2 linked regions of the Struthio camelus genome follow. The protein of the gene in region 2 purifies or fractionates together with the protein of the main gene of each other region. This does not show direct contact. Links are inferred from orthologs where the notes say so. Each region holds a gene or a part of one and is shown on either strand. Other genes may lie near its edges.

Evidence for each region.
Region 1: the proteins of RPS6KA3 (region 2) and FGFR2 purify together in Homo sapiens (affinity purification with mass spectrometry; 3 studies listed by BioGRID and IntAct, counting the BioPlex papers as one, with this or other methods). This does not show direct contact. The link is inferred for Struthio camelus from reciprocal best matches to the Homo sapiens genes RPS6KA3 and FGFR2.

The regions. Positions count from the first base shown.
Region 1 is NC_090948.1:6,143,211-6,157,883, reverse strand, and holds the start of FGFR2 (fibroblast growth factor receptor 2), read right to left. Parts: upstream 6,587-14,673; 5' UTR 6,552-6,586; coding exon 6,544-6,551; intron 4,309-6,543; coding exon 4,052-4,308; intron 1-4,051. UniProt on the Homo sapiens protein: Tyrosine-protein kinase that acts as a cell-surface receptor for fibroblast growth factors and plays an essential role in the regulation of cell proliferation, differentiation, migration and apoptosis, and in the regulation of embryonic development.
Region 2 is NC_090942.1:136,903,861-136,918,711, reverse strand, and holds the start of RPS6KA3 (ribosomal protein S6 kinase alpha-3), read right to left. Parts: upstream 7,322-14,851; 5' UTR 7,239-7,321; coding exon 7,167-7,238; intron 1-7,166. UniProt on the Homo sapiens protein: Serine/threonine-protein kinase that acts downstream of ERK (MAPK1/ERK2 and MAPK3/ERK1) signaling and mediates mitogenic and stress-induced activation of the transcription factors CREB1, ETV1/ER81 and NR4A1/NUR77, regulates translation through RPS6 and EIF4B phosphorylation, and mediates cellular proliferation, survival, and differentiation by modulating mTOR signaling and repressing pro-apoptotic function of BAD and DAPK1.

The sequences.
Region 1 (14,673 bases), on a different chromosome or scaffold from region 2:
GGCTCGGTTTTTCTTAAGAAACGGGAAGGCGTGAGGGGCGCCCATCGGCGCGCAGGGGCCCTGCGGCCGCCCCGGGACGGGCGGGAAGCGCCTGCTGCGCCCTGGGACGGACGGGAGGATCCCACGGCCGCGCCGGATTGCGCCCGGGAGCCCGAGAAACACCTCCCGAGACCCCACGTGCTGCTCCAGCGGCTCACGGCGACGAGCCAAGGATGCCTGCTTGGCCGGCGCTACCTGAGCTGACCAGCGCGCGGTTGGGCTCTGCCAGGCTTGTGACGTTAACCTTTAAGCGCAGCCATTTGCTCACGGATTATGCAACCTTTTTTTGTTTTGTTTCTTTGTTCTGTTTTCATTTTTAAACAAAAATTGTACTGCACTGAATGTGCTCATATTTTTGTGTTGTTTACTGTCAGCAAGCAGCCGTGATAAGAGTTAAAAAATCAAAAGACAAATTGTTGCTCACTTTCAGAGTCCAGCGTAAGCCCACATCACGTGCTAGAGCAAGCCTCAGTCCCTGCTCCTGCTAGGAACCTCCCAAACACACATTTAAGGCCCATTTTGAACTACTGTGATTTTCACAGTACATGGAATTAGGCTGTCTCTTGTGGAAAGCTTAAATTAGTCCTTTGAAATCTGACCTAAATTAAAAGAACTAAAACACATTGTTATTGCACCCGGCGAGGGCTCTGAGCGGGTGCTCCAAGGACAGCGTCAGGGCACTATATGCAGAAGCAACTAAATTAGCTACCCAGCAGAACGATAACACACAACTTGGGCAAGGAAAGGTCAAGGGAGAGCTTGCTATTTATCAAATATATGTCTAAACTAATTATTCAGTTCACAAAGTAACCCTTCAACCTATGTGTGCGGTCAAAGCCCTTTTGAAACGTTGGCTATCATCAAAGGACTTCATAGCCTGGGTACACAGAAAGAGAATAACTCCTTTATACACACTGGGGCAGACATTTTTTCTAAATATTTAAAAGTAGAAATTCTCTAAGCTCCCGAGAATAAAAAACATATATGCAAACACTTGATATAAGTGTAAACACTTTGATATAATTCGGAAGTTGACAGTCCCAAAATTCCTGCAGGTCCTGTTGCCGCGCACACGGCTTGCGGCCTCAGATGTTACTACCTATCACTGCTTAAGGAAGAAAACTGCAACCAGTGATAAACACAAGCAGGATCCAGTCCTTAGTGAGTATCCATTATATCAACATTGACATTATCATTTACAGTAGTGCCTCAAGATACTGTCTTCAGTACAAATACTCCTCCATGTATCACAGTAACACCTAATGGTCACAGGTCAGATTCACAGCTCAATTAGTCCATCATTTCACAAGAGCACCTTAGAGAAGCTTGCCACCAAAGAGATCAGATATACCGCAGATAACCAAAAGTAAAATACTTTGATGCAGTACAACTTCTTACATGTATCCTGTATTGTATGGATAGCAGTGCAGTTGATTACCCTATTAGATAAATATTGCTTGTGCTAAAGTACATATTTAACCAGATACTGGGGACAAAATGGTTGCAAATATCCCTAAACTTGTATTGAGCTAAAAGACAAGAATGTATTTCAACTGGAGGTTATATATTACAATCAAAAGAAATAAAAGGCTACAATCTCAATTCCTGTTAAAGTTGCATACAGCTCTCTGCACATTCTGAGTCACTAAGACAATAAATAGTAACAATAAAAGCATCCAACACCAAAACAGACAAAATTTGAGGTGTGTCCGGGCTTTGAAAAGTTTAGGAAAAGGATATACAAACAAGAACGTACCAACAGATACAGGCTCAAAATAGGAGGTTTTATCAAACGTAAGGAACAGATCAAAGTATGTCATAAAAGGTCATAGCCCTGCCGACCTTCTCAGCTGGTATGAAATGTCATAGCGCCAATGACGGTACAGTCAGCGGCCCGACCACCAGTTTATATTGTTGGAGCACCTGACCCTCCAAATTAGCTGTGGCTCAAAAATATTTGGCATTTACAAAATTAAAAAAAAAAGTCAACTTTGTCTTTGAAGAACTTTTTCCAAAAGGTTTTTTGTTTTGTTTTCAGCCCAGAGAGCCTGTGGGTGGCAGTGATGAAACCCAGAGAAGGTGATTGTGTAAAAAATTAGGTTTTTTTTAAAGGGGTTTAACAAAGTACATAAAGGAGGTTTTATTTCCCAAATCTCAGATATAAATCCCACACAATTCCCTGTATTCTACAGCATAAAAGCTCTTATTATACCATTAACTTGGAAGCTTTTCTCTCCTTTCTGGTAATGATTCAGGGTTCGCACATCTGATGTTGTTTCATATAAGAAACATTCCCGCCCAGGGAAGACATTTTAAACCCCTTTTAACAATTTACACTTTGATAAAACCCAGATTCTACCCGCTGGATATTCATTTTGGAAGAAGCATATTTTTAAACTGTGCTTTTTAAAACAATAAAGGTGAAAAGCTGAAAAATCACCAGGCGTAATGTTACCCTTCTCCCTATAAAATACTATACCAAACATGCAGCCACATTCTTTTTGATTTAACACTAAAATTAGGGGACCTCACTGCAAACAGCTAATCTGAAACCAGAATTATTTATGATTTTGTCATTCCTGTGAAAAGCCAAAAAGGCACCAGATGTACAATTAACAAATAAAACAGTAAGTGGTGAGGAGAGTTGGGCTTTTTTGATTCTCATGTTACCTCCAAAAAAAAAAAAAAAAAAAGAAAAGTTTTGCTATCAACAATCTCCGTCAATGACAGATGACAATATTACTATACTTGTTAGACTTTTTCAGGAACGCTTGCTAGAGAGGATGGCTCATCTTCTCTAAATAATTCAGTCTCTGCCATCAATAAAAATGTACTTGGAAAGGATTCTAAAAATGTGCTGGCTGGTGACATCTATTTTTAGAGGCAGTGGGTAGAAACAAATAAGTTTTGCGTGAAAATTTATTAAACAAAAACAAAGCTGTATGCCTGCACATGAATAGGAGAATGTGTAAAGACCAAATTGTCTCCAGAAAGCTTACTGGATCGAAAATGATCTATGGACTACTATATTGTTTTGATAGTTGAGTTATTACAAAAGCAACCACTTCACTGAACAGCAGACAACAGCCTTATGAAGGAAGCCTCCCCTTCCCGCAAGGTGTTCAGAGAGCAGGAAAGGTCCTACAGAAAATAGTATTATCATTCTTAAATACAGCCGACTCATGCTAATAAAAAACCCAGCCTTTTCTTAACTCTTTACACAGGGGAAGCACGTTGGAAAGTTTATGTTAAGGATATATCTACAAGAACATACCACTAGATGAAGGCTCAGAATAGGAGGTTTCATCGAGACATCTCTTTCAATATAACTGTTTCCGTTAGTCTTTGCTTTCACAGGAATAAACTGCTACTCATGCTATTCAAATATAAACATTCACACTCCTACAATTTGCAATCCATAGAGCGCACTGATTGTTTTTGGACGTGAACAACAATAGGGAAATTTATAGTAACTAACTACAAACACCAATAACGCTGAGACACCCGTTTTTACTCTCTTAGCAGAGTGCCCTGCAAAATCAACTCACCAGGACATACAGCGAAAAATTATTGGGCTTTTTCTTTTCCTCTTAACTTTTCAGGTAGTTACAATCACAAAGGCATGCAGCAATACAAACATTTGCATTTCTGGAGATGTCAATATGTAACAGGCATGTAAGCGCAACACACTGGTTTTCTTAAAGATCCATTCCTGAAAACTTTTATACGTACATTTAGATTTTTTACACGTACATTTAGATTATATGAAGTGATGACAAGCTAAGTGAAATCACTGACACCACTCGCTTGCATATGCTTAACCATACGCAGCCTTGCATGAACACGGCCCATGTGTAAACAGGAAAAGTTGGAAAACACGTAACTTTTGAGAACTAATCTGTTACTTGCCTTATATTTACCAAAGCACAGAAAGATGTTGATTTCTATTTCAAAAATTCAGGCATTTAAAATTAATTTATACTGCAGAATTAAGCATTCTAGACTGATTTACCTTCAGGTTCCAACGTGGCGTCTTCAACAACTAAATTAAATGAAGGTCGAGCCAGGGAAAGTCCAGCCATGGTGACCACCACCAGGCATATAAGGCAACCTGAATCCCAGCTGACCATCTTTTTAGTGTAAATTCCTGGTCCATTTCCATATCTCCATGTGGACTTTAATCCCATCTGAACACCTCTACAGAAGCATGGACAGAAAGCAGTGCCTTCGGCCACGATAATACCTCCTCGCTTGGAACGTCTTCTGCTGCTGTGGGAGAAAGAGAGATTTAACAGTGTCAGTGAAACCATCTCAAATGCAAACCAAAAAAACTTCACAAAGCCCCAAACAGGATTGAGAGTGGGAGGAGAAGGATGGGAAAAGTAGTTTTCCAGCCTCAAGAATATGTGAAAAGTGAGTGACTTTTCATTTTCTGTTAGCAGTTTCCATCATCACCTGAGGCGTAACCAAGTCCTCCTTGTTTTCCCCAAATCACTTCTCAGCACATATTTAGAGAGTTATTTTAATGACAGAAAAATATATAGCTTTAAAAAAATAAGAGCATGCACATGTGCAGGCACATAACCTTTAATATTACAAAATTACCACAATTATGCAAATTGTATTCTTGTTACTGTTTGACAGTTTATGTAAGTTTGCCTTGTTTTTCAGTCCTTCACCTAGGCAGTTCTGCAGTCAGCTGAATTTTCAATAATTCAGTAATCTTCTACAAGGAAAACAATTGAAAAATACTCTCTAGGCTAGAAAATCTGGAAAACTTTGCATCACTGCCTGAATTCCAACTCTTCTCTACACTTCCTTCCGCCTAGCTTAGTTCAGTGTCCATTTGAATGTCTGAGAATCCAGTACAGGTAAAAGGGTCCAGTCTTTGCAGCGGTACTTCTTAATTAAAGGGGATTTCAGGCAATTAAAATCCGTATAAAGTTTGATATAGATTGCCGTTTCACAGGAGATCTCCCCAGCATCATTTTCCATCCACACAATGCTAAGCTGCAAAGCACGCTTACCCATGCACGCACATTTCTGCTCATTCTCGCTTGGGGATGCTCATTGATATGTATTTTACAAATGAGGGGGAAATGTTTATTTCATTCACTGCAAAACAGATCATTTAAGACGAAGATGACTGTTCGGTAAATTAGCTATGCGCTGATGGAAAAGAGAGGAGAAAAAACAGCATCAAACTACTTGACACTGCCTTCAGCGTCAGACCCAGTGACCACCACACCAAGATGCCAGGTGTGGGTCTGAAGAGCATCCTCATGCTTAACAGCTTATCCAGAAAATGGCACCTTATTTTCCTCTCCAAAAATAAAAGTGAGTATACCTCAGTGAATGGATAAATCAAGTAACTGCATCAATTGTTCTAATCTGGCCAATGATCAATCTTAAACATGATGAAAGTTAACCCAAGTTTTGAGGGTGCCCATCTTGAAGGAAAAAAAAAAAAAGCATAAAACCTATTTTTCCCTCCTGCCCTCACCCTTAAAAAGAAGAGGGGGAAACAAAGGGATAAAGGAAAGTTTCTCAAAATTCCCTGCCATCTGAATGCGCAGAACACTAGAGCACCTCAACATGCTGTACTCAGAAACAGAGACAAATACTCTCTCCCTCTGTAAAGGCAACCATTAAAAAGCGTACTCAAATTTTATTAGCCTTTAGCTAAGACCTGGTACATACAAACCAGGTACACCGTATTAAGAGCAGAAATGCTGTTGCGGTGTTTTTTCTGGGATACTATACACAATAATTTCTGGAGTCAGTAGAAATGGATATTAGAAGACATAAATAAGACAGTTGGGGAAAAATCATTAATACGTGGTATTTCTAGTGAAGCCATGGTATTTGAAGTCAGTTTTTTTCACCTCAACTAGTATCAGCTCAATGCTCCATCCTCTTTCAGACCACAAGCTAGCAACCACTATTAAATCTTCAGTGAAAATACCACCAGACCACTGCATAAACATTTGTGAAGAGTTCTCTGAACACCTCTTCTTTAAATAAGTGCAGAGCAGGTGTAGAATTGAAGACTGGTTTGTGTTTGGTGAAGGACTGGAGCAAGCCCTCCTGGACACTATCACCCAGATCAACCCTCTGACTCACTGTCTGACAGCCACAGTGCTGTGGCTCAGTTTATCCAGCTGTAGAGTGGGTAAAAATCCCAATTAACAGACTGCATGTAATGCTAATTCAATTTCCACAAATCATCCTGTGAAACCTGATTAAAGCCTACGTATACAAATGCAAAATTTAATCATAATTTCGCAAAAAAGAAAACATACTGGAATGCTAACATATATTCCAGACTCTTTTTTAAACAGCATCAATTCCGTTCACATTTCAGCTGTTTAAGGCTTTTAGGCTACATTAAAAGTGATTTAAAGCATGCATGTGGCTCCTACCATCATACTAAGTCCTGAACTGTAGCACAGGGCTACTTGCCAACGCACCTTCTCACCTGAAGATTTTTGACAGTTTCTGTACCTGAACATTTGCCAGCAGAAAGAAGGGATTCTTCATCCACAGGACAACAGAAAATTTTAAAAATATCTTGCAAAGGTGTAGCAAAGCAAAAATCAGAGCTCTGGGTCCATCCATGGAACCAAAACACCTTCTACAGCCATGATAGTGACCATGGTTCAAGGACTGCCCTTTCCCCCAAAAAAACAGAGTCCAATGAAAAAGAAATGAAACCAAATTCTTTTCATAGTTTAATTGCCACAGTTGCTGGGGGACGATTCTCTGGAAAGACCTCCTGCACTGGATAATTATGTACCTCTATCTCAATGTTTGGAACACAGCCCCAGCATGCTTTTTGGCCTCCACAATTCTGGCTTCCTGACTACAATACCATAATCCCTCCTGGAGTCTCAGACTCAGTGAAAGCCACACGTAGTGTTTATTTTTCCCCTTGAAAGGGAACTCTGTCTCTCTTCTCAGCCTACACTTTGGGGAGGAGTTGTCAGCCTCCAATGATTGATGGCTCTCCTTGCCACTCGCTCATCAAGTCAATTTTCACCTCGTCACATACCTGCCCAAATTTCTGTGCCAAACTGACAAGCATGGGAAAGCAGACTGGTTTGGGAGCCTAACCAAATTCCTCCAAGCTGTACTTCAGTTTAAACACACACACACACACACACACACACACACACAAACAAGTAGTACTTGTTCAGCAGTGGCACTAATTAAATTCAATGCTCCATGTTCTTTTTAATCTACTTGCATTGTTGTTTATAAGATGTTTATCACTCCCCAGGGAGAGTACAATTTGTAGCGTATGTTAACCAAATCAATACATTGCTCATTGTATAACTCTTTAGCATCTTTCTCTACTAGGCACGGAATAGCAAAATCTGAATGAAACATGAATCTTCCCTCCTCAAAGAAAACCCAGATGCCCTAACAACAGCCTAGTAGCTTCATCAGAAAAGTCTAGGTACATGAAGCTTTAAAACTAACTGTTACGCATGTATATAATCACATGTATGAAAAACATAAATACACAAGTGTGTGTGTGTGTATATATACACTCACATATATATCTACATATACATATATAGACAACAAGACTCTTCATCACTGTTCAATCTCCAAGTAGATTTGAGCATCACAGCTATTAAACATTAATTCTGGAGGACTAATGGGAAACGGCTGGCGGCTTCAATACTTTTTCATTGTTCAAACTTCTTTCATTTGCTTTCCAGGACTATCCTGTTTTTCTCAAGTCTTTTGCCACTAAGAGATCAGAAAAAAAAAATCTGCATTTTAATTGACATTCCAGAGAGAGAGAGAAGTCCAGAGGCTGCTGATTGCTGTCTATTCAGCCCAAACAGGCTTTTCAGATGAAAATGAGTAAAGGCTAGTGGAAGATTTACAGGGATTTGGTACAAAGGAGACAATGAAGTTTTAAATGTTGATAGCGTTTCACACCAAACGCATAATGGATCACTGTTTGAACGGGCCGTTTTGCATTTAAATATATATTTCACTGAGGATCTCTTCTTTTCTCCCCCCCCCCCGCCCCTTATCTCAGGCGGGGGCAGTTATGTACCGCCTGGCCCTCTAACCCCGAGCATCGCGGCGGGGCACGGCGGGCGAGGACCTCCCGCTTCTCGGCGCTTTTCCCCGCCTTTGCGCCGGGCTCCGGGCGGCCCGTCGAGGCGCCGGCGGCCGGGGGCTGCGGGGGCTCCTGCGCCCCCGGCCCTACCAGCACCTCTCCGGGGGTCGGGAGCGGGTGGAGGGGGGGGCAAGGTTAAGCCTCCCTCCTAAAAAGCAGCCCGCTAACCGTGTCGCCGTGCCGTCACCGCTGCAGACCCTCCCCAGAGATTTCCGCGCACCAAACGGGCTCCGTTTTTCTGCCAGGCTCCCGCACCCCGAGCCGCAAAGACGGTCAAGTGATGGAAGTGCCCCCCCGACCTCCGCGGAGCCCCGCACCGCAGGCTGCGGACGGAGCCGCGGGGCAGCGCCCCTCCGCGGGCCGCCCCCGGCCGGGCCCGCACCTCTCCGCGGCCCGCGGAGCGGCCCGCCCCGCCCCACCGCCGCCGCGCACCAGGTGCGAGGCCCCCGGCGGCTCCGGCGCCCAGAAGCCGGGGTGGGGGGGGGAGTCCCGCTCTCGGCCACCTTGCCCCCACCTCGCCTTTTGGGGGGGGGGGTTGCATTTGCCTCCCGCTCCCCCCCTCCCCATCCCACCCCGCGCCGGCGCAAACCCAAGCGGGTGCCGTTTACCTGCAGGAGAAAAGCTCCGCGGGAAGGGTCCGCTGCCGCCGCAACAGGCGGGCAGAGGCGAAGCGCGGTGCCTCGCAGCGGCTCGGCGGGACGGGGAGAAACTCCTCCGCGGCCGCGGGTCACTCCGCAGGTAGCCCCGGCGGGGCCGGCTGGCAAGCCCGCAGCGGCGCAGCGGGGCGCATCCCCCGCGGGGCGCGGGCGGGACGCGGCTCGGCGCACGGCTGCGCGGGGAGGCAGGAGCAGCGGCTGGGAAGGCGAGGCAGAAACCGGCCCGACTGCTCGTCCCCTCGCTGCGCTGCGCTGCGCTGCGGCAGGCTACCGCCTCAGAGGGGCGACCCGGCCGTGCCCAGCGCCAGCAGCCTCGTCCCCCGCGCGGGCATCGCCGAGCGCAGCGCCGCGGGTCCGGGTCCGCTCCATCCAGCCTCCCTCCCGTACTCGCCGCAGCTTTGTCAAGCCGACAACCCTCCTCTTTTTTTTTTTTTCCTCCTTTTTTTTTTTTTTTTCCTCCCCTCTCTCTTCTCTGCACACTCCTCCGGCTACCTTCCTCCCTCCCCTGGTCACTCCCCCCGCTGCAACCCGAGCCGTTTCCTGGACGGCGCTGCTCGCCTCTGCCAATCGCGGCGGCCGCGGCGCGGAGCCCCTTCCCCCGCGGCCGCCCGGCGCGGAGAGGAGCGGAGCGGAGCGGTGCTGTGCCGTGCGCTGCCGGAGCCGCCGCGCAGCCAGCGCGGCTGGGCACCGGCCCGGCCCGCCCCCGCGCAAGGGCTGCGCTCCGCGCCCCGGTGTTCCCGGCTGGGCAGAGGGGGCGGCCGTGTCCCCCCCCCCCCCGGGGCAGCTGGGTCGGGGCCGGGCCCGCCTGCGTCCCCTCCGCGCACCGGGGCCACGGCCCGCACCGGCGGCGTAGGCAGGGCAGGACTGGGCTCCTCATGCAGAAATGGTACCAGCACAACATTCCCGGAGAATCTTTCTTGAAGTTTTTAGGGCCATGGCTGGCTGATCCGTAGCCTGTTCCAGCCTGCGAGGGTGATGAGATAACATGCAGTCAAAAAATCACCTTCGTCTCAGGAGCCCTTTTAGCGCAGAGCCTGATTTCAACTGTTTTGGATTCCTCTGACAGTACACCTTTAATAATTCTGTATGTGGTGCCCAAGGAGGGAAAGCTGTCAAAACAGTTCATCAGATCTTATTTGCCTGCACACACAAGATTTAGAACAATGCATAATATTAGCATTTAAAATTCAGTGCAAGTTAAACTGATACTTGCTTAATAAAACATTTGCTTTAGATATCATTAACTAAAAGGTTGCTAATACAGAGTCCGTGTAATGCTTGCTTTGTAGAATCAGCTCGGCAATGAAATCAATAAGCGGCAGTTGCCTCAAATTAAATCAGCGTTGATCAACTTAGTGTTGCTTTATTTAAGCATAGCTCCACTGTACCTTTTTGTTCTGTGCTCTATCAGCAGAGGGGATCTTCAAGGACTGTGACCCCACAGAACAGTATAACTCTGTACATACTTCCAGACAGCAAAAAACCTGAAAACAAGTTTTCTGTAGAGTATGTGCTTACCTCCCAGAAAGTGTTTTCCCACCATCACCAGCAGCAAGGCAGGCTTTGTGAGGGACAGCAGACAAATTTGTAATTGATTAGAAACACATTTTTTTCTTTTTCTTTTTTTTTTTTTGGTTCCTAGAGCCACAGACATTTGAATGTTCTAATTGAGAAGCTGAGATGTCACAGTCAAGGTCCAATTTTCCCAGGTCCAAGCATGTCCATTGCCCATTGAAAACACTGTTAATGCATTCTCACATAAATTATTGTCTAACACAGGAAGCTGCAATACCTTTCCCCATTCATCGATATCTTTGCATACTTTGAAAGAAAAGGAAGCATTCCACTAAAAATGACAAATCAGAACACCTATTTCCAATGTCTGGAAGCACTCGTCAGGAATTATTCTTCTGAGGAATGAAAAGATAGCAGTCTGTCATTAGCACCCTATTCTCTTAAATGAGCCACATTCTCTTAAAAGTGGCCCACAGCAGCCCCACTCCTCAATCTGAGAAAAGCAGAAGCATGTTTGGAATTAAAGGGGGTGGGGGGATCAATTCTGTCATCATATTTAGGCTTCAAGAGATCTCAGTGGGCCCAGGGAGCCTTTCATAGCAGTTAGGCTGCTGAATGAGAGCATAATCTCTTTACAGTTTTTTCCTCCTCCTCTCAAAGTGGCTGGAATCTTTTTTGTGAGCCCTCCTGCACGTGAATGGTGTGGCTAATAAGCCTATTAATGAGGTTCCACAGTGGAGTGTGAATAGGTAAATAAGCCCCAATCTGTTGAGGTTCAGGAGCAAGGGCAGTAAAGCCATCATGAACTAAAGGTGACAGTTTGAACTGAAATAGGAACAACAGCTCCAGGTTTCAAGCAGAAGAAAAGACAGACAAGGCCCACATTCAGAATCCTTCTACCCCCTACCGAGCTCTATTTTCTTTCCCATTCTTCCTCCTTTATAAAATGTCTTGAGTAGTCACCCATTTTTTCAAAAGCTCTTGAGACGTCCTTTTTCATCCTGGCAATGATACATCAATAGGGAGGAAGGAAAATGAGGACACCAATGCTCCTTTGCACCACAAGTTTCAAAAGCCCCGAACAGCGCTGTCCCCTAGCATATGGAAGCGGGGGAGGAGAAGGAAAGTTAAATTGAATCTTTCAGTATTCCCAGCTCTTTGTCACTGCTGTCAGCTGGACTCCTGGTTCCCCCTTCCACACACAGGCGGGGATACAGTTAATGTTCAACAGGGGGCATGGTACAAACGAGGTGGCTCCAGCTGCAGGGGAAGCACAGCTGGGCTCAGCAAAATCTCTGCAGCAGAACAAGGCTCTGTCCCTGGGAGAGTGAAGACTTAACTCATTTCCACCTGGCATCTCAGGGCAAGATGGAAATGTGCCTGACTTCAGACTGCTCCTGAGTTGGATCCGCAAGAGCCCAGCTCAAGCGCTTCTGGAGATGAAAGTTTAACAAAGCAGAAAGAAAAAGGGCTTGCATCCTCTGAGAGAAAAGGTGAGATGGGCAATTAATTCCCATGGATGATGTGGAAAATGTCACCTTAGAAACAAATGAAATACAGGGTTTCTGAGCAACCCTCAGTTCTGATCCGCATAGATTCTCTGACCTTTTATTATATCCTGGAGATATTAACGCAGTCAGGGTCCCATGGAAACCTGTTCCTCTGTGGGAATTCCAGTGAGGGACAAGCCACAGCTCCTGCCACACTGCAGACAGATGGCAAGGTATGCGACAGGTAGGCCACAGGGTACCTGCCGGCAGCAAATTCTCCTACTACCGGTGCTGGACTTGCTCACATGTCATATTTCTATTTGATGAAAAATAGGAATATAATATGGAAGAAAAACAAAAGAAAGAGAAAATGCATGCTTTAAGGCTTTTGTGAGCTATGGGGAAAAAACCTCTAGATCCTAATTTGGCCATGCACATCACCAAGTGCTTAGCTTCTCCATGGAGGACGATGGGAAGCAACATTTCATCCCTATTCAAGCTGTCTGTCCACAATTTTTGCTTGACCGTGCTGCGTACAATTAAATACTTGTCCAAGATGGTTTTTTTTAAGTTCTTCTAAAACTAAGTGCCTAAACCCAGGCTCTGGCAGCCATAATATTTACCTGGTTCCCGAAGTATTTATGGCTCCCTTTCTTGGCAGCTTTGAACTTTTCTTAAGGTGCCAAAATACAGATCATAGAAACACACTTCTGAAAATCTGGTCAAATTTTTCTTTTAAATGATAAGCAAAGTTATTTGATATATCTGTTTCTCAATTTCTTGGGGGAAAGACTTCACATAAATTAATATTAACCCTTTCTTACATAAAAAGGCTGGCTCCAGCTCATGTGAGACTCATGTCACTAGCCTTCACCACGTATTACTACAAGATGCTGCTAAATTGAAAGACTATGATAAAAAATCTTTATTTTAATGTCAGTAGATCCAGTAATTACCCCTAAGTCTGGAACAAGCTGGCTACCAAGTTCTTCTGCACCAAAATCTATGGGGCGGGAGGGAGGTTCCAGCCTGCAAGGGGATAGTTTTACTGAGTGTTTATCAATAATAAAACTCCTTCTCATTAAGCTATAGATTGTGTCAAATTCATTCCTTTGGACTATCAATTTTTTTTCTCCCTGTCTATTACACCACAACAGAATCTTCTAAGAGAAATCACCTTAGCCAGTACTGCCAAGCAGTTGGAACAAAGACAGATCATCTTCACTACTAAGGTAGCAAGCAACGTTTTGTAACGGCATTTGGGGTTCATCACCCTCTTCAGATAGTTACACCCCATAGCCATGTAACCTTTCTGGGTACTCCTCACATATTGTACGTCTTAAGGAAAAGATGCAAAAATGCTTTGTTATTATTATTACATTGTTGCAAGATACATTTAAACAGGAAATGTGCTGTGTTATAATTAGGGTATTGCACTGTGGGATGCTGGACATTTGATGCTGTCTGCCATTCCACGCCAGCTTTCCTACACAGTCTGGGGAAAGTCACTTAATCTGTCTATGTCCAAACTCTCCAGCTATGAAATGAGAATAATAGTTACTTCCTGTCTCCCATCCTTTAGCCATTTCATCTGTTTAGATGGTAAGCTCCTCATCTGTAACCATGCTTTCATGCACTGCTTAGAACAATAAGACACTGATCCCAGCTGGAACCTCCAGGCACTTCCATAATGCAAATATTGAATACTAATTAATCAAAATAAAAGAAAATCCTCAATTTATTATGTATCCACTCATAAAGGAATTGTCACACACTGTCCTTTCCGGGTAGAGCATCTCTGGCTCGAAATTCACTCAGGCACTATGTTTCAGCCTCAAGTACTGGGCCTCTGAGCTCTTAATATTCATTTGGTCCGACTGGACTGCTCTGCTACACTTTCTGTTCTCCAGGCCCCTGAAGTATATTCTTGGGAAAGGATTATGCAGAGATTATGACAATATTTCATAATATTCAGGGTACCTGCCTCAAATTCCCCACACTAGACTATACGGTTTGTAAAGAAAGAGAATATTAAAACCTTTTTGGGCCAAGAGATGAGCCTGGTGCTGTATGTACTCAGCACTCTAATCCACGCTCCCCTAAAGAGCAAACGGGCAGTTACCTGGGGAGAATATCTTTTCCAAAGCAAGGGGAAGTAGTATCCATTGAAGAGTATCTTTTTACAGTGATTCCCCTTAAAAAGGGCCCTAGAGAAACCATATGAATAAAACCTTTTCCTTGAGAGCAGGGCACAGCAAGACAGAGACAGACTTATAAAAATGAGAAGACAAAGGCTGCACAGACGATTTTTCTTTCTGTTACAGATTATATCTCTTGGAGATATTTGGCTTGTTGGCCCATGCACTTTTTGTTTCTGTTTCCAGTTGATTGATACATGCTGGTTTGTTTTACTAAAGCTCTCCTGTCTAATTAGACCAGCCGGGAGTTGTGGCAGCCTCCCATACAACGATACCTCAGATCAGATTTTGCTCTAGTGACACTACAGAGCTCAGGAAGCTTGCTATGACTTTCAGGCACAACCTCAGGGTAGAAGGTGTTAAGTGGGGATTACAGCAGGGTCAGTGCTACAGTTTAAACCCTGGGAGTAGAAGAAAACCAGTAGGCACAGATCCATAACATAGGCACTCCGTTATTCTTTTCGGGTAGGGTCCTGTGTTCAGGCTGTCCTAGACTACTGAATTCCTGCAGACCCCTTCCGCTTCCCACTTCCTTCGCTAGAGTGCCAAGCTTTTACACTTACAGTTTGCTCTTTCAGAGCGCCAGCTGCAGACTCAGACAGACATGGTCACTTTGTAGTAGTTCAAAAAAAAAA
Region 2 (14,851 bases):
TAGTAGTGTATATTCAATAGATTTTGCATAAGCTATGTTAGAAATAGTATAAAAGAGTCAAAGTTTTTGGTTTTTACTAAAAATTAGAGTTTTTTTATGAAACAGAAAATGACTGCAAGCATTTCTTTATATAAAACATGGTTACTTCACATCCATTAATACCACATAATTTATTCTAAATTTTAACTAAGGGGACAGATGACTTTGCTATGCATTAAGAAATAGCTGGACATTGAAACTTCTGCTTTTTGTAAACAATCAACCTGAGATACAAGCCATTGACACACAGATCATTTAGGCATAAAGCCAAGCTCCCTTAAGTTAGGGAATATTTGGACAACTTTAACTATGGCATTTCCCAAGACCTATCTACTTTTACATAAGAAGGTAGTGGCAGTGTAAATGACTAAGTCTAGTTTAACAATACAGCCTAGATGCTGCTCAAAAACAGAACCCTCCACCACTGCGCTTACCTTGGCACTGGCGTTTGTCCAACCCTGCGGCAAGCCAGGCCAGAAAACAAAACTTAAAAAAAAAAAGTTTGCCTCTTTCAGTCAATTTAATTCTCTGAATTAACACAGCTTGAAGTCAGACAAGTACCATGGTAATATCCAAGATGCTGGATATATAGTATCATAAAATCTTTGTCCAGGCCAACCACTTTCTGTAGCTTAAAACAAGCTCAACAACATACGTTCACTTGCTCTTGAAAGAAAAAAGGTAAAGAAAACTTTCATTTAGTTCCCTACCTATACAGCTGGCAAATTATTACACTCAACACAATTCTCCAGCAGCCTTAGTAAAAAATGCACCTCCTATTCTCTGTCCCTCTGCTCCAAGAAGGAAGAACAAATATACATGCAGAAACCACTTCAATATATCCAGACCCCTGAAACACATCTGAAAATAAAGGAAACTCCCTCTTGTGCTTGCACACATTATCCTAAGAGTCACTCTAGCACCTGATAACAAACAAACTCTGTTAGTAAGACTGCGTTTTCACGGGAAGGCAGGTATGCTCGATGCCTTCTGCAATCCCAGGGTGCACCGAAATGCAGTGACTGCCTGCCTGGCTCCCTGTACAGGGCCTTGGGCACCCTGCAGGAGCGCACCAGGCCCTCACACCGTGAGTCAGTGTGCAGCAAGGCTGCAAACCGCATTCCTTACAAAGCGGACAAGTGTTTTCAGACGTGACGTGGTCTCTTGCAATCTCTTTTTATTATAAATGACAAGGATTGTAGTTTAACATTGAGGTCCACTAAAGCATTGTCCATTTACATGCAATTTTTCATTTATCTGTTTTAATGAATTCTGCTAAGACGATACTAAGCTGTACAGTAACTTTACTATTTCCTAAACTTCAATGTTTCCAAAGCTGACTATACAACGATTGTTGATTGCTGGAAAACAAGAGGTGGAAGACTCCTTACTAAGTGGAGGAGGAAAAAAAAACAAAATTAAAACAAAAAAAAACCCTTAATCTGTTGGTCTAAGTTCTAATAGTAACTTACTTTGGCACCCACGTTATGTAACAAACAACCCAAATAATATTCATCATGTTCCAATTACATCAAGAAACCACTAACTTTTGAGCCTCCAGGACAAAGTAGTCTGGCTTTAAGAAACAAAGCAGTAAGAAGATTTACTTTTCAAAGCTATGTTTTGACGGACATTTAAAATCATGACAAAACAGTTTTCTTTACATCTCCTGTGTACGCTTAAACATGAACCGGCCTAATAAATTAATGTGTGAAGTTAAATGTTAACAGGATTTCATTCTTAAAAGTTATGTTAGAAAATAGACTTAGCCAATAATAATGTATGTTAGAAGACACATGCCACAGTTTGCTTCACTCAAATTCCAAAAAAGAGAGGCCCATTTCCTCCAAAAAGAGTAAGTGGAGCTTTAAACGTACCACAGGGGGTTCCTTGCATCAAAAAGGACATATGGTAACTGTTACTGATAAGAATGAGCTAGCAGTAACTTTGTGGTTGAGCCACTGGAGTAGGTCCCTGGAAATCAGAGCTGATCTCCTAGCTCTAGAACAGACCCTATGAATTATGCTAGATGGAGTCACCAAGCTGCTGAGTCTCATTTTCCCCATCTGCTAAACAGGAGTTCCCCCTCCCCCCCATTTCCAATGGGTGAAGCATTTAAATTCTATCTCAGACAATACAGAGGCAAGAGAGAATACAATATTAGGTATGCAAGGGCAATAGTACAATACTTGCAACAGTCTACAGCGTTAGTTCATCTGACCTTAAAAATTCCTTGAAGAGATTCTCGCTTTTCCAGTTTTGCCAATTAAATTATCCAGCCTCTCAGCAGTCATTAAGACAGGAAAAAAAACCTGCAAATTTTAAAGAACTCTTCAAGTAAGAGCAAAAAGTTCTACAGCTGGAATATGGCTATGAATTATATTTGAAAGACAAAAAAAAATATCTTGAACAAGCACCTAAAGCAGACAGCTTTGCCCACTGCCAAGATCAGTTAACCATTAAAGCTAATATTCTGCTGTGCAGAAATAATTAAATAGCCACCTTAGACTCGCAGTGATAAATGGTTCATTTTAAATGAAAACCAGCTACAGTTAGTATAATGCATCACAATTAACATAGAGAAGACAAACTTTCCTTCAAACATTTCAATCTATTTACATCTCTATTAAACATCCAGTTGTGGGAAATATTACATAAGCTATAATGAACAACACAATTACATGCTCAGAACTGCTAAATTCAACATCTTACACGAGGAAACCAAGAACTATGAAACAGAACACTGTCCAAAGGTACTTCACCAAGCAGCGTGACACCCCCCATCAATATCAAGAAACTAATACTAGGTCATATTTATTAGGAATGCGTTAACTGAAAAACATCAGAGGTAAATTTGTACCATTAAGGATCTGAAAAGCTGGTACCGAGGGAAAAAACAAAACCAAAAAACCCAAAGATAAACATCTTTCTTGCAGATGGTATGTTTCTGAAAACAGTATTCACATAGATATAACATCTGTTTTACTGATGGAATCATCAAAATCCATAACTCTCTTCTGTCACACCATTTATTTGAATGCAGAGTACACTTCTTAGTATAGATAAGAACTGAATCGCTAAAGTCCATTTTTACCAGGTAAGCAAAATTTCACTTAATGTATCTGCAAAAATAAAACCTCAGGATACAGCACCGTATGACAATAGATATGTATCAGAAGCAATTGGTGAGTGCTGCAAGGAGAGGCACAAAAATTCTCAGTATAATGGTGACATAATGAATGGCCTTCCTAATCCACATATAACACCCCATTTAGATGATTCTACTTTGGTTTTCTGACCATTTCCCTGTTCTGACTATTCAAGAAATTACTGTAAATATAACCTTTGTTCCTACACAAGAACACTGATTACATTGTGTAGCATAGACTGCAAGGATGTAATTGCAACCGGAATTTTATAGCTTAAGGTGGCAAGAAATCGAATAAATTTCAGATTCCATACCAGAAGCATACATTGACTTAAAGCATGTCATACTGAAATTAGAATCGAATTACAACGGAAAAGTTACAATATACCAGCTTCTTATAAGCATCAGCATGACTTTTTCTTACTTCTCCTGTCTGTTAAACGTTGGCACCAACCATTGTCTTGTGCAAGGTTCAGATAATTCTCGATACAGGATATAAAATAAGGAGTTCTGAGAGGGGAAATTCATACCATATATGTAATCACCTAAGTAGGCAATCATGAATCCACTATTAAGAGCAGTAGAAAAAACTGAACTTCCTCCACAGCCAATTTAGATCACCTAAATTAAAACTCCTAAAGAGAAATAGCACAAATGCTTCCCACAACACCTAACAAATGAAAACCCTTTACAATAGCCAACTCTTTCAACATATTGGTGTCTACAGTTTGGCTGTCATAACTATTCATTCTCCTCCAGTCAACATTAATATGCACTGCTGGGAATACAAATCAAAGGACCAGGCTAGTTATTCAGGCATTCAAATCACCAATGTTTAATTTGCTTGAAAGCAGTTGTCTTGGAATAATGGGCACACTCTCACCATGAAAAACAGATCCATGCTTTGTTGCAGGTCTTGAATCAGACAGACCCTGCATCAATAAAATTGATTCCACAATTCCACAGGCTTTAAAGGTGCCATGATTTAAAATAGGAGATTTTTAAAATATTTGTATATACCCACACACTTCAATATGCAAACTTTAAGATAATGTGTCCAATAACTTTGTTCACTGAAAAAGCTGTCAGAGACGCAATGGAGATTACCGACATATTTCCGTTGTACTTGTAGAAACAGAACTCCTGCAGCTTACCTCTGAAAACTATAAATCCATGTCACATCTAAAAAACTACTTGCATTATTTCTTAAGAAAGACCACGTTCTACAGATCTGTTGATTATACTCGCACTAAGTTACAACAGTTGTTGAACGTTAATAATGTAGTCTTTCAGAGTAATGCTAGTTAAAGGTATTTACTCCTCCCATAGAATACGCCCATGTATCACAATAATTCATCTCCTCAGTGATGCCAATAGGAAACTGAGTACAGGACTGCATAGTCCTAAAAATTTAATCCAGGTAATAAAAAATGAAAATTAATCCAATATGAAAACTCAGAGTTAAGATTACAAAAAAGGATTTGAGATAAGTTTTAAAGCTCTTAATTCCATGATTCCATGTGGATAACACAGCATTACAAAAAAATGCATCAGCAAATCTGCCATGTTAGTGGAAACTCTTTACCCTGTTATTACTGCTGAAGACATTATTATTATCAAACTATGACTGAAAGCACAATGAGGATGTAAAAAATATCTTTGCCCAAGGATGTGCTTGCAGGATAGGGTCTGTAATTAGGATACTGCTATGCTGCAGATGACTACATTTTCAATTCGCATGAGTTGTTTATGTACTTAGGTCATTTGTTTATTTGACTTAAATTTATCAATTTTCATTAAAACATCTTCTCTTCTTAAAAACTCATTTCAGGTAAGCAACTTCTTTAAGTCTACCTTTTCCTTTTGAGGAAAAGCTTTTACAGGTGCAATCTGGTCTTTTCAAGCACTGGATATTTATTTTAGACTAGGACCTTACCTTGTAAACCTGTCAGTTCAGTTGCTGTTTCATGTTTTGTTAGTGTTCCCAGTGAATTTTTTTAGATGCCTTATGACACACTGCTGTAGACTCAAGACAATGCAAGTGCTTTACTCCTTCCTCCCTCCCTCACTTTAGGAAGAGGTAGAATACACCAGTTTCAAGAAATCTATGACAGTAGTTTAAAAACAAATCATGGAACTAAAGTGCACTAAAACAAGGAAGTAATAAAAAGAGCATAATTAACCACATACATAGGTACTTTTCAAATTATCTGGTTTTATTACCTTTCTAGTATATATACCCTAGCGTTATTCAAGACGCATAGAATACATGCAGTGAGCAAGGAAGACTGAACTAACAGTTAAGATGTATTCTCTAAATCATTAGTGTAAACGGCCTTGCAGAAAAATCCTTCCTTGCCACTTCTCTCCCCTGAGCATCACACTATTCCAATTACTCTTCACTAAAAAATACTCATCTAAGAGCACCACTTCAAAAGTCACTGAGGGAAATTACAGTAAACAGCAAGAATTTAAGACAGTTAGATGCGTCTGTTAGATCAGAAGTCCAGGTTCTTCTGACTTCCAGAGATGCAGTCACTTTAAGCAGAAGGAAGACAAACATCAAGAGGACAAACACGTTGATACTGCAGAAACTTTTCAGTTTGGTCTATCTTTCTCTGCTTCACTCATTAGGAATAAGCCCTAACCTTGAAACTAATTTTTGTGGGCTGGCCTGAATCCACACTGTTCAAAATCATGGTTTGGAGCAGACTGGCTGCGTATCAGCTGGAGGAGATTCAGGTACAAGCTGCACCATCAGAGGAAGCTCTTCCTTTCCTTTCTGATGGGAGTCTGACCGTCAACTAGGGTGTACATTGCAGATGACTAGGAAACCACGAAGCAAGCACAACTGTCTCTGTACGTGTGGTGTTTACGTAGATCCAAACCAACAGAGCAGCAAGTACTCGGTAAAGAAGAACTGGAAATAACTGGAGGCGTCCGTAGCCCCCGATCTCAGGGTGCAAGCGAGGCTAATTTCCAGCTCCTGGCATTATCTCAGCCTGGAAGAGCTCACACGCGTCCTGCCCGACGGTGACACGAGCGCAACACCAACTCCCCACTACCAAAAGCAGGAAACCGCACTGGGCTGCATCTCAGGGATGTTCCCACAAAACGCGGCCGAGCACCGAGCTTCACCAATGCGAAGCGCCCGTGCGGTTTCCCAAACGCTTGCGAAACTGCAGAGACACAACCCCATCCTGCTTAGATAAGGGGACAGCGGCACCCGGGCGGGGACAACCCTTCCCCGCCGCAGGGGGAGCAGCGGCAAGGCGAGGGCGCCGGCAAAGTGACGCCGGCGCCGGCCAAGCCCCGCGGCCGAGGCCAGGGCCAGGACCGAGACCGGGCTGACCGCCCCCCCTCCCCTCCCCTCCCCTCCCCCTCAATCCCGGGGCCGGTTCCGGCCGCTCGGGAAGTGCGTGCGGAGGCGGCAGGGCCGCCCCGGGGCAGGGGGAAACCCGCTCCCGACGAACGGGCACGGCGCCGAAACAAAAGCCGCCGCCGCCGCCGGAGCCGCTGGTCGCCCTGCCCGGGGCGGCGGGCGGAAGGGGAGGGAGCCGGCGGCGGCCGTGACCCGCGGCGCGGGGCAGCCCCGGCCGGCGCCGGCCGTGAGTCAGTGCCCGGCGGAGGGAGCGGCGCGCACGAGGCGGCCGCCGCCGCCGCGCTCGTCCCCCAGCCCCGGCCGCCGGGGGAGCCCCAACCGCCCCCCCGCCTCCCGTCCTCCCCGGCGGCGGCTCGCTGCCCCCTCGCACCCGCCGCGGGAAACTTTCTCCGTCCCCCGAAGAGCGGCGGGAGCCGCGCTCCCGTCTCCGCCTCCCCCCCCCGCCCCGTCCGCGGCCCCTTCGCAACTTCCCCTGCCCCGACCGCCCTCACACGCCACCGGCGCCGCCACACGCCCCGCTAACCCCCGGGGCACCGCGGCCCCCCGCCCCAGGGCTCGGCTCTCGCCCTGGCCGCCGCTCCCCGCCGCCGCCCGTACCTCCGTGCTGCTCTCGGCCGCGCTCTCCACAGCCATCTTCTGCCAAGGGTCCGCCAGCTGCGCCAGGGGCATCTTCCCCGCCCGGCGCCCGCGGCCCCCGCGCCCCGCTTCCCCACACCACCCCCCCGCGGCGGCGGCGGCGGCGAGGCGCGACGAGGCAGGCAGCGAGCCCTCGGGCGGGCGCGGGACGCCCCGGCTGCCAGGACAGCCCCGGCCGGCTCTCACGGCGGCGGCGGCGGCAGCAGCAGCGACTGCGGGGACGGCCGCCGAGCTGCCGCCGCCCGCCCCTCCCCCACGCGCTCCCCCCTCCCCGCCGCCAGGCGGGGCCGCGCTTCCGCCCTCCCACCCGGGCCGCCGCTCGCACCCGGCTTCCGCTCGCACAACATGGCGCCCGAGCCATTACCTGCCCGCCCCAGCCGAGGCTACGCGCGCGTCACCCCCAGCGGGCGGGGCCGCGGCCGGGGCCGGGCCAATCGGCGCCGCCTGCAGGTAGCGGGAGGGGGCGGGGCCTGGCTGGGAGGCGGGGCGGAGCCGCGGCCCGGCTCGGTGGCGGGTGGCGCCGCGGGGGGGGGAGGCCCGCGGGTCGGGCGGCGCAGCGCGTCGGGAAGGCAGTACCGGGGGGAAAGAGAGGGACGGGGACGACGTAAAGACCGCGGTCGGAGGTGCGGGTTGAGGAGCTGGAGGCTTCAGCGGCCGAGAAAGCGGGGCGCCGGGAGCCGTTGCGGAAGCGGGTGGCGTGTGCGCGGCGGCGGGGTGGGCTGCGTGGGTGGGAGCTGCCTGGCAGCGGGCAAGCCGTGCTTTGTGCAGGCCGCGAGGGCAGAGCTGCCAGCGGAGCCGGGGAAAGGGCTTGTTCTCCTCGCCGTTTCCTCAGCTATTAGCTGGGGCGCGGACAGCTGGCTGAAATACAGGCTGAGATCCCCCCCAGGCCTGCGGCCTGGCTGCAGCCGCGCAGCCCCGACGGGCCGGAGCCGCCGCCGCCGCCGAAGGTGGACGCCCGCGTTGGGCGCCTCGCTGCCAAGTTTTCCCAACCCTACCTGAGAAGGGCCGCTTCGTTTTCCACAGGCCTCGCCCCCCTGCCCACCGACTCTGTCCTAAAGCCTTTCCAGGTGTTGATGGGCGTAAGTCACGTGCTTTGCTTCACCCCCGATAAAGGTTAATGTCGTTTTATTTGGGTGGGGGGCAAGGGGATGATGGGGCAGGAGTGCTAGTACCTAAAAAAACGCGTGTGCGCGCATGCATGAAAGCACGTGGGTGCGCACACTGATGTGGCAAACAGGCTACTTCTGTTTCTGCTCGGCAGCGTGTTTTCGTCCCGCTTTATTTCTGTAAGCGTGACTGCCTGCCGGCTAAGAGGTGCCAAGTAATGGACAGGCCGTGCTCCATAATGAATCGGACTTCAGCCGGTGCTGCAGCGAGCTCCATATCTGGCGTAAAAGGTCATCGCGGAACGATCCCCCCGAGCCACCACCGCTGCCAGGAGCAGCAGCTGTGCCCTCCCCTTGCTTGCTGCTCTTCGTGCTGGCCCTTGCCGCAGCCTCTCTTTTGAACGGGTGAAATTGCTGGTGCTGCCACGTGGTGAGTCAGACTGCAGAACAGCGCCAAGTAAAAACTAAACCCCCCAAACCACCACCACCTCTCAGAAAACAAACCCAAGCCCATCCAAGCTTGAGTTAAAAGTTGAAAAGAAATCAGGGCTGCCCCCTTTGACAACAGGGGGGCGGTTTGTAAAATTCTGGCCTGTTATTGATATGAAGTTTAGAATAAGGCAATAGAAAACAGAGATAATTCAGTAGTGCTTGACAGCTTTTACGCTTAGGTTAATAGCAATTTTGTAGTCTGATCAGAACCAGGTCACTTTAGTCTCGAGCTGGCGGCTGGAATGTTGAATGGAAAGCTTATGTTCACAGCAGTTGTACGTTGTGTGTTTGACACACACATCAATGCTTTTCTTTATCTTTTGAGTTCGTGTAAGAGTCTGTAAAGAAAGAAAAGTTTGCTTCCATCCCTTTAGAGGTGTCAGCTTCTGTTCCCTCACAGGGATAATTCAATTTACATTATTGCAGCTCATTCATTTGTACCCACGCTAACTACACGGTCAAATACCCACATCTGAGACTTGCCGTTATGAAAAAGAACCTGATCAGCTCAAGGGTGGCAACCGTAATAGAGAAAAAAATTACTTAAATTTGCGTTTAACATAATTCAAGCAATCCCTCTTTATATGGTAAGACTTCCTTCCTCTAAATAAAGGCTATCGTCTCCTGTCTTCCCTTCCTACTTGTCTGGTCATTTCCTGCCATAGATACCTGTTCCAAATCATTTATTTAGAGTTTGAAGCTCTTCTCAGAGGGAGAGATGGTGTCACATTTCAGTCAGGGCCTTTGAAAATGTTCATCATCTGTTGTCCTTCCTACGAATCCAGAAGAATAAAGGCAAAGATTTTATGTGCTAATATGTAAAAGGGCTGCAAACAACAGAAACCTGACCTTTTCGAAGGCACTGATGTGAGGAGGATGGGCTGAAGTATGCCATTTAATTGTTTGGGGGCTTATTTGAGTATTATCATACCACACATTTAAATCTTACAAAGGAGACAGCTTCATCAGGATTTTAATAAGAGCTACTACAGAGGAACAGAATTCAGGGCAGAAAAAAACATCTGTAGATTGTCCCCATGGGGAAGAGAAACACATCAGTTGATGTCTGGGAGATGCGGGGGTTTCTGACTTTCGGATCCTGCTAAGTTCTGGGCTGGATCGTCCAGAGAGGGGTAAGACACTGAAGGTATTTTGCCTCGAGACAGCAACTCCTGTTTTCATTCCTTCTGTCTCAGGCCAAAGCAAGACTCGTGCTTTCACCTGTGGCAGCAGACCTTTCCTTCTACCCTCTTCCCCTTTAAGCACAGCTATCACATGTTGAATGTAGTCACCATTAATAACCGCCTGTCACCAGAGTCTGTAGGGGTTGAATTCACCTTGGCAGAAGTGGTCGCTATCATATTGCATCTACACAGATGTTTTACATGCACTTCAACTTGATCACATTTTTTAGGAGAAGAACAGCATGTGGCAGCTGAAGTGACAGTGCTCTGTAAAATCTTGTTAATGTATCGTTATATGAACTCGTTATATGAACGTTATATGGGCTCCACAAACTGCACCTTTTTTGATACCACTTATGACAAATATAAGTTGTCATTGTATTGAAAGGGGAGACATGAGCTTAATAGGACTCATCTATCTTTCCCCTACTCAAGTCAGGTTGAGAGGTGAGCGAAAGGAATAAGGGAAGCTTGCTCATGGTCAATCATTTCCAAGGCTTTGTATAGCTTTGAAGTAATACCTAATAACTCTTTGCATGTAAGGCAGAATTCATTGCAGGGTTAGTAAATGGCTGTAGTCACACCCAAAAATCAAATTAATAAGCATAAAACGGGAATAGTTGGTAGCATCACTACAGTACCAAAAGGATGCCAAGAAACCGGAGCAAAGTTGTATTTCCACTAAAGTGGAAGGCAGAATTCCGGTTTATTTAACTGGTTTGAAATCCTGTTTCCCTTGGTCACAGTACCACGCTTTTAGAAAGTATTCTGACAGGACTAATAAATCAAATGCATTTAGGGGTCACAGTATAGTATTTAGGAGCTTGAACTTGTATTTTCTAAATATAAATAAAAGGGAAAAATGAGTAAACCAAACAGTATTTATGAGAGCAAAACCCACACGCATTACATAGATGGTGTAGTAGTGTATTAGGTATGAATTATAATGTAGTTTCTTCTGGATTAAAACGCGTAGAATATGAAAAAGTAAATGCCTTCTGAAAGTGCAAATTGAACTTCAGTTTCAAATGTTACAACCATAGTGTTGAGGTATATAATTTGAATTGACTGTATGGGAAAATATGCAAATGTTATTATTCAAAATTATGTAGAAGAAAACTTAGGAGTTAAGTAAAAAACTAAAAAAATCAATACAATTTATTTTTATAGCCAGTAGGAGCAGAAGAGCCTCTTACTCTCGGGACACCTGGATTCAATTCTTAGAGGATCACAAAGGACAATTGTGTAATTTGGTCACTTAGTGTAGATTCAACTAAGGAGACTTAAGTCTTTCTTAATGATGTTTTCAAAAGTGTGAAGAGACATTAACTGGAGAAGCGTAAATATATCCTGCCAAAATAGAATAAGGAAGCCTTAGCGGAAAGTAGAATTGGTTGCTCTGTGCTTTAGTCAGTGCTTTACTTGCCTCGTTGGGATATTGCAAGCATGTTTTCCCTGATGTTTGGAAAACTGATGATGGCTGGGGAGAGAGACTATATGCTAAAAGAAGTTCCCAGCTGGCATGAGTTGTCATGAGTGAGAGGCACTCAAGAGTTGCCTAATCTGCCCCTGTATGCATGGAATCAGCTATGCAGAACAGGGTTGAAGAGAGTTATAACCTACAATTAAAAAGCAAAACCTGAAATGAGTGACAGTCGTGTATGAATACTGAACCTGACCTTACAAACAACGTCTGCCGAAGGGTGCTTTCACCATTACAGGCCCCTGGATGATGGAATTGTGCTGGAATGCAAACATTTCCTACAATTTCCTCTGGCAGGCTCTGCTTTGAAGTTCTGATCCTGCAACTGTGGCGGGAGATGGAATAATGACAATAAGCACGCTCCTAAATCCTACATATACTAGAGATATGGTGTCTGACTCACCACTGAAAATACTCTGGCTTTTGTTTATGTGTGTATGTTAGTTTATATGGAATTGCACTAGCACTGAAATAAAGTAAAGCATAATGGATCAGACTCTATGGTATTTACTGATTTGAGTTTTATCTGTGGTTACTGCACTAGCAGGAAACATTCTGCCTGTGGTTTCTATATCCTGAGTGGAAATGTGGAATTCAATAAAATATGGTCTCATTACAGCATACCTGTCTCCAACATATGTTCTCATTTTAGTTTTTCTGTCCATATGGATAGCTCAGATTTATATTCTGAGCAATGGAGCTTATCCGGTACACCACAGAGTTTGAGAAACCTTTTGCTGAGTTTGGTATCTTACATGGAAACCTACTATCAAATACAGAATACAAGTTATCACCTATATATGGTGCAACATTTAGAAGCATACCAGAATTTCAGATTGTGGCATTTTGAGACAAGAAGGGAACACTACAGTACAAACAAGCATCCATCTCCAAGGTTGAGAGCTCTGCTGGGTTACATGTTAAATGGGCTATCTGTTCACAAGTTAAAAAGACTCAAAGTTGACAAAAATAAAATTCAATGTTCTGTTAATGCAGTAACAAAGTAGTCAGCTTCACAAGTTACTGCTATAAAACACACCAGGCCCCAAGCAGCCGCAGCCTTACAAGTACTCTACACGTCTCCTCCCTTCCCCTTTCAGCTTCCTAGGCCTAGGATGGTAAGGATCACATACCCTTCAGTTATCTTAGTTACTAAATCAGATCATATTTAAAGAGCCTCCTGACAAGATAGACACCATTTATCTAGTACTTCTGAGATCTAACCTTACTACCTCATTTTCCTCATTTTAGGTTCTAGCCCTCTCCCAATTAAATAGCTATCCTCCCCCAGCTCTAGATCTCTCTAAAAGCTACTCACCCAGTCATCTACTCTAATGAGCCTTAATCTTAACTTCATTTTACAGAATAACCAGTCTCTTAGCCAAGAATCCAGTTTAAATCTGGAAAGCTTTACTATCTTCTCCCTACACCTTAATTATGCTCAACAGGATTCTCCTGACTGTGCTAACAGCTACTCTTTATCGTGCTTACCAACACTTGATACTCGTTCCCTGTGGTCTACTGATCTTTTCCAGAGCTACCTGTTGTTGAAGTGAGCGCACACAATCACAGAACAGCTGAGGCTGGAAGGCATCTCTGGAGATTGTCCAGACCAGCCCCCTGCTCAATCAGGGTCACCTAGAGCAGGTTGCTCAGGGTCATGTTCAGCCAGGTTTTGAGTATCTCCAGGGATGGAGACTCCACAAACTGGGCAGCTTGGGCCAGTGTTCAACCACCCTCACAGTAAAAAAGTGTTCTCTTATGTTCAGACAGTTTGCTGTGCTTCATTTTGTGCCCATTGCCTCTCATCCTGTCACTGGGCACCACTGAGAAATCCGGCCCTGTCCTCTTTACATGCCCCCCCCCCATCAAGTGTTTATGCACATTGATCAGATCACTCCTGAGCCTTCTCTTCTTCAGGCTGAGCAGTCGCAGTTCTTTCAGCCTCTCCTCCTATGAGGGGTGCTCCAATCCCTTAATCGTCCTTATGGCCTAAATATAATACCTAAAAATACCATTTGCTACCTCTCCTGCTTTGAAAAGGTAAAAGGTCCATGTGTTCTCTCCAGACGGTTCACTTACTCTTTCACCAGGATCTAATATATGCACCCTGTCTTTTGCTTTGTAGTTTAACCGAGCGGTGCCTTTCGGAGGGAGGCCCAGGTCTGTGGCCAGCTACAGCGTCCGTACATTCTCTCCAGTGATCGATAAAACCTGTAGCATTATCAACTGTAAATCACAAGGGATTATAGTTGTACATGCTGTACAATGGGCGGTCTGCATTATTTTTGTCTTCTCCCTGTATGCTGTCTGCTGTTTCACTGCGCTTAGGGAATTCCTATGGTGAGCCCTGCCCACCTTGTCATTCAGGTATGTTGCTGATTCACACGCACATATATTGCTAATATATGACTTACCTGAATAAAGAGCTCCACTGATGGTTGCCTTATCCCAAAGTGGTTTTCCACCACTTAGTATGAGCTGGAGGTTGGCTAGCTCCAAAGCTTGCTGGTGCACTTCTTTTCAACAGGATTTTGTGTCCCATGGGTGAAGGGCAGCTACCCACTCCAAATATGGAAATTTTAGACACCTGGCAGCCATTCCAGGACCATATGATGACACAGTCGCATGGTGAGAGCATTTCTATCAATCACCCAAAAACAGTGCTTACTGAAGAGGAGGCGTGAAACTGATGGAAGCCAGTTCAGGATCCCAAAGGAGTGAATAGAAATGTGTTAGCTGAAGCAGCCCTACCCACCTTGTGGGTACCACCTTCGGCTCCTGCTGCGTTGACCCGCTTTGCCCTGTTTGATGGAGCAAGGACATCCTCAACGTATTTCTCAGGAGTCATGACCTTGCCAACAGGGGTAGCAAGATGAGGAGGCAGCAAGATTTATTCAAGTATTGCAAAGCAGCACCTAAAGGCTGTGTCAAGGCATGGAGCTTTATGGAGAGCTGCGGTGTTGAAAGAAGGTATATGTGAGACAGATGAGTCAGAAACGATAAAGTCTGTCTTGTCTGAGCTGCAGAAGGTTCAGGGTTAGCTGTTAGGGTGGCTGTGGTGTGCTTCAGCTAATAAGTGGTATGGACTTGACCTAGATCAGATAAGATACTTTAGGTGGAGGATGAGAGATTATGGAAGATTCTTACATTGCTGGTCCTTCTCCATTACGTGAAAAGAAAGAGTAGGAGGAAACAGAAAGGGAAGGCTAAGAATAGGTGAGGGCTATTTAGAAAGAGAAGAGGAAGAAAAGTAAAGCAATTTTAGGGAGCATTTAAGGAGCAGCTGTTCCTTGCAAATGAATAGCTTGTTAATTTTGTGTAAGTTTTTTTGTGACAACATTTAGCAAGTCACAGAAAATGGGAAAGGCTGATGTTTTA